Linked DNA regions of Neurospora crassa OR74A. The protein of the gene in region 2 interacts with the protein of the main gene of each other region in a biochemical or structural test. Links are inferred from orthologs where the notes say so. Each region holds a gene or a part of one and is shown on either strand. Other genes may lie near its edges.

The links.
Region 1: the proteins of NCU05959 (region 2) and NCU01199 form a complex in vitro, tested with the Saccharomyces cerevisiae proteins (3 studies listed by BioGRID). The link is inferred for Neurospora crassa OR74A from reciprocal best matches to the Saccharomyces cerevisiae genes VTI1 and TLG1.

Annotation. Positions count from the first base shown.
Region 1 is NC_026505.1:3,218,201-3,221,802, reverse strand, and holds NCU01199 (SNARE domain-containing protein), read left to right. Parts: upstream 1-1,537; 5' UTR 1,538-1,752; coding exon 1,753-1,799; intron 1,800-1,889; coding exon 1,890-2,622; 3' UTR 2,623-2,918; downstream 2,919-3,602. Other genes in the region: NCU01200 (peptidyl-prolyl cis-trans isomerase B), read right to left, coding at 173-324, 394-520, 582-906; gle-1 protein, read right to left, coding at 3,231-3,602.
Region 2 is NC_026506.1:3,311,272-3,315,152, reverse strand, and holds NCU05959 (vesicle transport V-SNARE protein VTI1), read left to right. Parts: upstream 1-1,650; 5' UTR 1,651-1,967; coding exon 1,968-2,367; intron 2,368-2,443; coding exon 2,444-2,642; intron 2,643-2,718; coding exon 2,719-2,806; 3' UTR 2,807-3,216; downstream 3,217-3,881. UniProt on the Saccharomyces cerevisiae protein: t-SNARE found in various SNARE complexes involved in multiple transport pathways. The composition of the t-SNARE complexes is specific for a limited number of v-SNAREs and therefore allows only the vesicles carrying the matching v-SNARE to fuse.

The DNA.
Region 1 (3,602 bases), on a different chromosome or scaffold from region 2:
ACGATCCACAATTGGACACCATTGTAGGTATGAGGATCCAAAAAGTTTTGCTTCTATATCCTTTCCTCTTTTATATGACTTTTCCCACACAGGTTTATGAACAGTTAACGGTGGGGAAATGGGGATTCGCAAGGATGGATAGAAGACGCTTTTTAAAGCTCCACATGGATACCTTCAGGGGGAACCTCAAGCTCGCCACTCTTGGCGATCTTGATAGGCTCAGCAGGAGCATCGCGAGGACCGGTCTTGGTGTTCTCAATCTTCTCGACGACATCGTAGCCCTCGAGGACCTCGCCGAAGACGACGTGCTTGCCATCGAGCCAACTGCGACAAAATGTGTATTAGCCAACCGGGCACTTCCTAGACCATGCGGCTCGAGTGTATTCGACTTACGAGGTGATGACAGTGGTAATGAAGAACTGGGAGCCGTTGGTATCCTTGCCAGCGTTGGCCATTGAGAGGAGACCCTTCTTGGAGTGCTTGAGCTTGAAGTTCTCATCGGGGAACTTGTCACCATAGACTGTACACAAGCGGTCAATGATATGGACCAAAGTGCATAACGGAACTTGGAAGCAACATACTGGACTTGCCACCGGTGCCATCGCCCTTGGTGAAGTCACCACCCTGGATCATGAACTGCTTGATAACACGGTGGAAGGTAGAGCCCTCATAACCGAAGCCCTTCTCGCCAGTGGCAAGAGCGCGGAAGTTTTCAGCGGTCTTGGGGACGGTCTTGCCATAGAGACCCATAACGATGCGGCCGAGGGGCTTGTCGCCCTGCTCAATGTCGAAGTAGACCTTGTGGGTGATCTTGGGGCCCTTGGCTGCCTCGGCGGACTGCGCAAAGAGCAGCATCGCGCCGAGGAACAGCGTGGCGGCGAGGAGGAGTCGCCGCAAGCTGAACATCTTGACGGTTCACGATAGTTTTTGGGTTGAGATGGAAAAAGACAATGACCTGACCCAAGTCAAAGAATTGGTGGAAAAGAAGATGGAAGAGGAGGAGGAGGAAAGAGAGAAGGAAAAGGACAGTTGATGAGACACTATGATTCTCTTCGGTTACAGTGGTCCCCGGCTCCGTTGAAGCTACGTTTCACCTACCAAATCGGGCGAGCTGCCCTCCAGGCACTGCCCGTCCCCGCGACTGGGGAACCTGGAACCAGTGCACTGACAACCGGACCGACAGCGCGCGTCGTCCAACCAGTTCTTTAGATCAAGGGCCTCGCATTTTCCCCTCAAAACAACAGGGGCAGCAGTCAAGGTGTTCAGACAAGACGGGGATTGATGGAATCGTTGGGGTTCGTTCACAGCGACTGCGCGATTGCCCTGAGACGAGGGAGCGGGAGCTGCACCGCTGCAGAAGCGGGGCAGCCGAAGAGGTCCATGGGATGGATGTCTCACGCCAAGCCGACGGCGGGTCCAGAACCACATGTACTTTCTAGACTCACCCTCAGCCACAAAGGGGGGTGTCAATCTGGAGCGCCGCGCTTGTATGCATAGCGCCGCTACTACAGTACCTCGAGGCAGTTGTCGAGATCGTGAACCCTGCCGGCCGCAACGTCATTATACTTTGGTCTTTATTTTAATCAAACACAATAGATCACTGCATATACCACCACTTCCTCAATCTCTTTACCTCTATGCAGTGAATCTCCACTTCCTTCAACTTGGGACTAATAAGGCCGGCGCATGTCGATTGATGCGACCGACAACTGATGCCGCAGCTTTACTCCTCCTCGTCTTCGCAGTAGCGCGATGATGTCCTCCACGAACGAGGAGGACCCCTTCCTTGAGGTCCAACAGTATGCTCTGACCATCTCCCCCTTTTTTTCCCAACTCACAAACCACAATCAACCCAAAACATTGACAGCTAACCAAAACTTCAAACACAGGGACGTCCTAACCCAACTCCAATCCACCCGCTCCCTCTTCACCTCCTACCTACGCATCCGCTCCCTCTTCACCTCTTCCTCCTCCTCTTCCACCGACTCTCCTGAGCTGATCGCGGCCCGCTCCGACCTCGAATCCGCCCTCTCCTCCCTCGCCGAAGACCTCGCCGACCTCGTCGAGTCCGTCAAGGCCATCGAGCGCGACCCCACGCAATATGGCCTGTCGGCGCACGAAGTCACGCGGCGCAAGCGCCTTGTGCAAGATGTCGGGTCCGAGGTAGAGAACATGCGGCAGGAGCTCGCATCCAAATCCGCCGTCTCTGGAAAGGGTACCCAGCAAAAGGACCAATTACCAGACCCATCATCTTTCGCCATCCCGGACGGTGAAAACGGTGCCGCTGGCGCCACCGGCGAAGACGACGATTACGCAGCCGAATTCGAGCACCAGCAGCAGATACAGATGATGCGCGAGCAGGATCAGCATTTGGATGGGGTATTCCAGACGGTCGGCGTGCTGAGGCGGCAGGCGGACGACATGGGCCGTGAGTTGGAGGAGCAGAGGGAGATGCTGGAGGTGGCGGACGATTTGGCGGACCGCGTGGGAGGGAGGTTGCAGACGGGGATGCAGAAGTTGACATATGTGATGAGGCACAACGAGGACACGCTGAGCAGTTGTTGCATTGCGGTCTTGATCTTCGTATTGATTTTGTTGTTGGTTTTATTGCTCATTTTGTAAGCTGGGAGCTGGACGGCAGGATTGGGGCTGTGTTTTGGCTGACTAGACTAGGCGGGCTGTTTTCTTTTTGGGTTCTGCCGGTTAAGAGGAGTTCTGAAGGGGTGTCTATGATGTTTGGCTCTCCTGTTACTTATTTTGCTTTACCGCCTACAGCATTATGATGGACGGTCATACGGTAATACAATAATGACCTACTGGATCACTGCAGCCACGAGTTGTTGCCGCCATGGTCCAGGTGAAAACGGGCATCGGTCAGCAACATTGAGTTTGGAGCCATACAAAGGCTCAGTTCTGCACCCTTTACAGGGCTTTCTTTCTCTGAGTGCTGATGTGGTAGGTTTTTGTTTCTGTATGCCCACTACGAGCTTCGCCGCCTTGATTGTAGATACGCTGGGTATATAACAGAAAGCGCCAAATACGCTGGGAAGCCCGGCCTTTCAGTTTCTTCTGATAGAACACTAACTTTTCGTAACCGGCACATGGCAGACGTTATCCTTCCAAGATGCTGAAAACCTCAAATGACCAAATCCTGAACGCCGTTGATATGACTTTTCTTTCTGACACACAACACACCAACCCCATTCCTCTGACACACACGACCACTTTATTTATCCAAGAGCAGCTCCAGTACTCTTCCTGAGCAGATCATGGACAACCTGCAACGAGTTCACGGCACTCGACTTGACCGGTGCCCGAGCAGGGAACTCTACGAGCGCGGTCCTCAACGCCGCAAGGGCAGCGGTTCCATATGCATGGATAAACTTCTCCTCGTAGTTCTGGATCATAGCTTTCAGAACCACGCACTGGGTATTTGAGATTTCGCCTGAAGGGGTGTTGACAATCTTCGCCATGGCCGCCCAGTAATGTCGTGGTGGGTATGGGTTTTGCTTCTTGGACGAGGCGAAGTTTCGCAACGATATCGCGGCGAAGCCGGCACCGAGACCCGTCATTCGGTCAAAATGCACCTGCTCCGTAACCCA
Region 2 (3,881 bases):
GAGCCTCTGGAGTTCTTGAGGAGCCCGAAGAGAAGCAAAGCCTCGGACGTTGTTGTGGTGTGTGGAAGGATGTCAAGAGAGAAACCAAACAAATCAAGGGGGACCTGGGCAGACTCGGAGTGGCAGGGGAGGGAGCACCAACAAAGTGGATGACCAATTGGCGTCCGACTGTCACCGTGTCTTGGCCTCACCCCTCTGACTGACGGGGTCCAAGCCGTGGCCGAGCTGCGAGGAGCTCCAAGAGGTTTGGAAACGGTGGTGTTGCTGTGCCAGTGGCCGGTCACGACACCCGCGGCGCCCAAAGAAGAAAAAAAGCGACGGCGGAAGCGCACGGCAGATCCTGCTAGATCCTGGTAAAGGTAAGCGGGCAGGGGACTGGCCAAGCCCTGAGCTAGCCTGGCCAAATTAAAAAAGATGGGGCCAATTCGGTGCCGATGGTGGATGACGGTGGACGCCGGCAACGGTGAGTCGCTGAAATCGGCCGCCGATGTGTCAAAACCGTCGGACGTTGGCGTGGGCTTTTTCCTTCGGCGGCGGCGGCGGCGGTACGTAACTCGATCCTGGTGAATGTCGCCAACACTCTCCACTAGCCAAGCGATGATGTATTCCAGCGAATCCTATGGCGTGCCGAGAGTGGATCAGCCTGACAAACCTTCGAATGAAGAACCTCGCAGCGAATTCTCGAATTGTGACCGGGGTCGCTGATTTGTCCGTTGGTGATGGATGTTTTGTGGTGGAGGTTTAGTCAGACGGGTCGGTATCGCTGGGCTGAAGCCTGGTGTTGCTGGACGACGAGCAACAGAGAGAGTGTATGAGTGCGTGTATGTGTGTAAGTAAGTGTGTGCCACGAGGCCGGACCAGATGGCCATGAGCAGTCCTGGTGTTTTGATGTCGGCGACGAAATCCGAATGTCATAGCTGACATATATATGATTTAACAGAAGGTGCAAATCTCGTGGCAATGTCGAGCAGCTACCTACTATTTGCGCCGCAAAACAACATTGCCGACCAATCCGACCCGACTGCCAGGAGAACATTTTCCCAAAGCATCGGTGGCGACAGACTACAAACCCAAAAAAGACTTGGAAAATTCAAGACACCAACCAGAAACAAAAGGCTGGCAATGTGTCCATTTTCTGGGGAAACCAGCCAAGGTTCGCGTCAAGCAGCCGTGACAGTGTCTAGGCAGTGTACACTATATTATCTTAGCATGTCTTGGGACGTGGCCGTTGACTGGACCTTCTAAGCGATATGTCCCCCAAAACAGTTCCCTTCCCTAGGTCGTCATCGGTCTCAATTCGTTGCTGGCTGGTGAAAGGTCAACTCAGTCATACAAAGAAACCAATTGAAGAGTTTCAAGACGCCAAAGTCCCCGGCAGTCCCAGGCGGGGTTGATACGTTCAACTGGACACGGTCCGTGTAAGTTACACTTTGCAAACAATACATACAGCGCTTGCGTACACGTACTGCAACAACACTGCAATACATGCGGCAACGCCAAGCATGTGTACGTCACCCGCCTAGGCTGCAACTGTAACCACTGTAACTGTATGTAACAAGCGGAATGTCATGTGCCCATGCTGGTCCGTGCCCACAGCTGCTGTCGTCTCCCGCCTGCGGCCTGCCTGCCTTTCAGTTCGCTTGTCAGGCTGCTGAGACGACCGCAACGACTAACGGGGCTCGAAGCACACTGGTGTCGCTGGCGACAGACAACATTCGACGACGACCACTACTCCTTGCGATCAGACCAACCACACGCCAGCCCAACCACATCTCGTCCAACGCGACCGCATCAACGACGCCCCTCTTTGGCATGATTAATGACGAATCTGAATAATTGAGAATAACGATACCCGCCGATAAACGAGCATCACCCCGATACGGCCAGCCCGACGACAGCACCCCCACACCTGCCCCGAACCCCAACCTCCACATCCGATAGCAACACATAACTCCATTGAATCCAAGATGGCCAACATTCTCGACAGCGAAGCCGGCACAGAGCTCTTCAAGCATTATGAGACGGAATACCAGCTGGTCCAGGCCGACCTGGTCCAGAAGCTCGACCAAATCTCGGAGCTGACGGGCGAGCCCAGGAAAGCCGCCCTCAGCACGGCCGAGCGCGCCCTGGAGGAGGCCGGCGAGCTGCTGGACCAGATGAACATGGAGAAGCAGAACGTGCCCAGCTCGTCGCGGACCGCCATCAACAAGCGACTGCGCGACTACCGAAGCGACGTGGACAAGTATCGTCGCAAGCTGCAGACGCTGGCGACGGACCGCAGCGCCCTGTTCGGCGGCAGATACACCGATAACCCGGGCTCTTCGAGTGGCGATAGGCATTTTGAGCAGAGGCAGCAGCTGCTATCTGGTGGGTGGTGGACAGAAGCACCTTATACATGGCAAGAAGAAACGGAATGCTGACTATTTCCCCCGAAACGTAAAAGGCACCGACCGGCTCGATCGGAGCACACAACGCCTCAAGGCCAGTCAGGCGCTGGCCGCCGAGACAGAGGCTATTGGCGCCAGCACCCTGGCCGACCTGCACCGCCAACGCGAAGTCATTGAGCACACCACCACGATACTATACGAGAGTGAAGGCTATGTGGACCGAAGTGTCAAGACACTAAAGGGCATGGCACGCAGGTACCACCCTCCCCTTTTGTCCCAATGCGAATCATGATGATTAGGTAATACTGACCACTTGCGCCTTTACCATTAGGATGGCTACGAATCGGATAATCACCATTGCGATCATCACCGTGCTGGTCCTCCTTATCATTGCGGTTATCGTTAGCAAGTTCAGGTGATTGTGTCGAGAGAGCTGAGCGAATCCATAAAGAAGCAATACAACATCAGGTAGAACAGGCAGGGGTGTTCAGTGACATCACGATATATACGAACAGGTGGTGGATGGTTTGGACTGTACCGATGGAGCGTTTGTTATAACAGAGACATGTTCCAGTTCCATGTTTTTCGTATCGTAGGGATGGTATCGTACGGGGGGTTGTATTTTTACACAGACGGCGTCACAAAGGGAGGTGGTTTCGAAATTTAGACGTATTTCTTTCTCATGACCATACGGCGGCCTTGCTTCCATGGACGTTCCGACATCCGACAGGGGAAAACGGCTCGCCATGTCCACCACAACTCGCCGCCACATGGGTAGCGGATCGTTCTCTATGATTTCAAATGATTCTCCTCTGAGACATAGTATCCCTGACTTTGGTCGGTGTTGACCGGGGCCTTGGTTAAAACAAATTTTCTGTTGGCCACTGTTGTTTGAATGATTTGCGTTCACCACACCTCTGCTGGGATGTGACTTGGTAGCTTGGTAGTTCTACAAGAAACAGAGAGCGAGCCTTCGACAAAGTCGCTATTTCTTGTGCCCAAATTAAGCTTCTTTGCCACCCTGAAGAACCGTGGTGTACTGTGTATATCCCAGCAAGAACTGTGTCTTGGTAACTCATGTACACTACAGGCCTATTACAAATGAGTAGACTAAGAAATTTTCCATGTGATGGAAACACGCATCACTGCAAATCACGTCAAGTCATCTTCTTCGAGATACTTTCGTTGTTGTTAACATTTGCATATAACCCCACTTTCACAGATACGCAGTACATAACGGACCCTCAGACCTTCCACAGCTCCAGTTGAACTTTAGGCGGTGAAAAAAAAGAAGTCCACCGGACTGATGTTCCGCAGCTCAAGCTGCAGCTGGATGGAGATCGCCGGTCTCTCCCCGGCAGCCTTCCACTCGTCTCCATTTTCACCTGCAATTCTTCACTTCAAGATGGAGTCACAAGACAGAAACACCAAAACCGCTTACGGAGCGGACTTGACTTTTGGCGAGGGGAGTTCCTTAGGTATGTAGGTATGGAG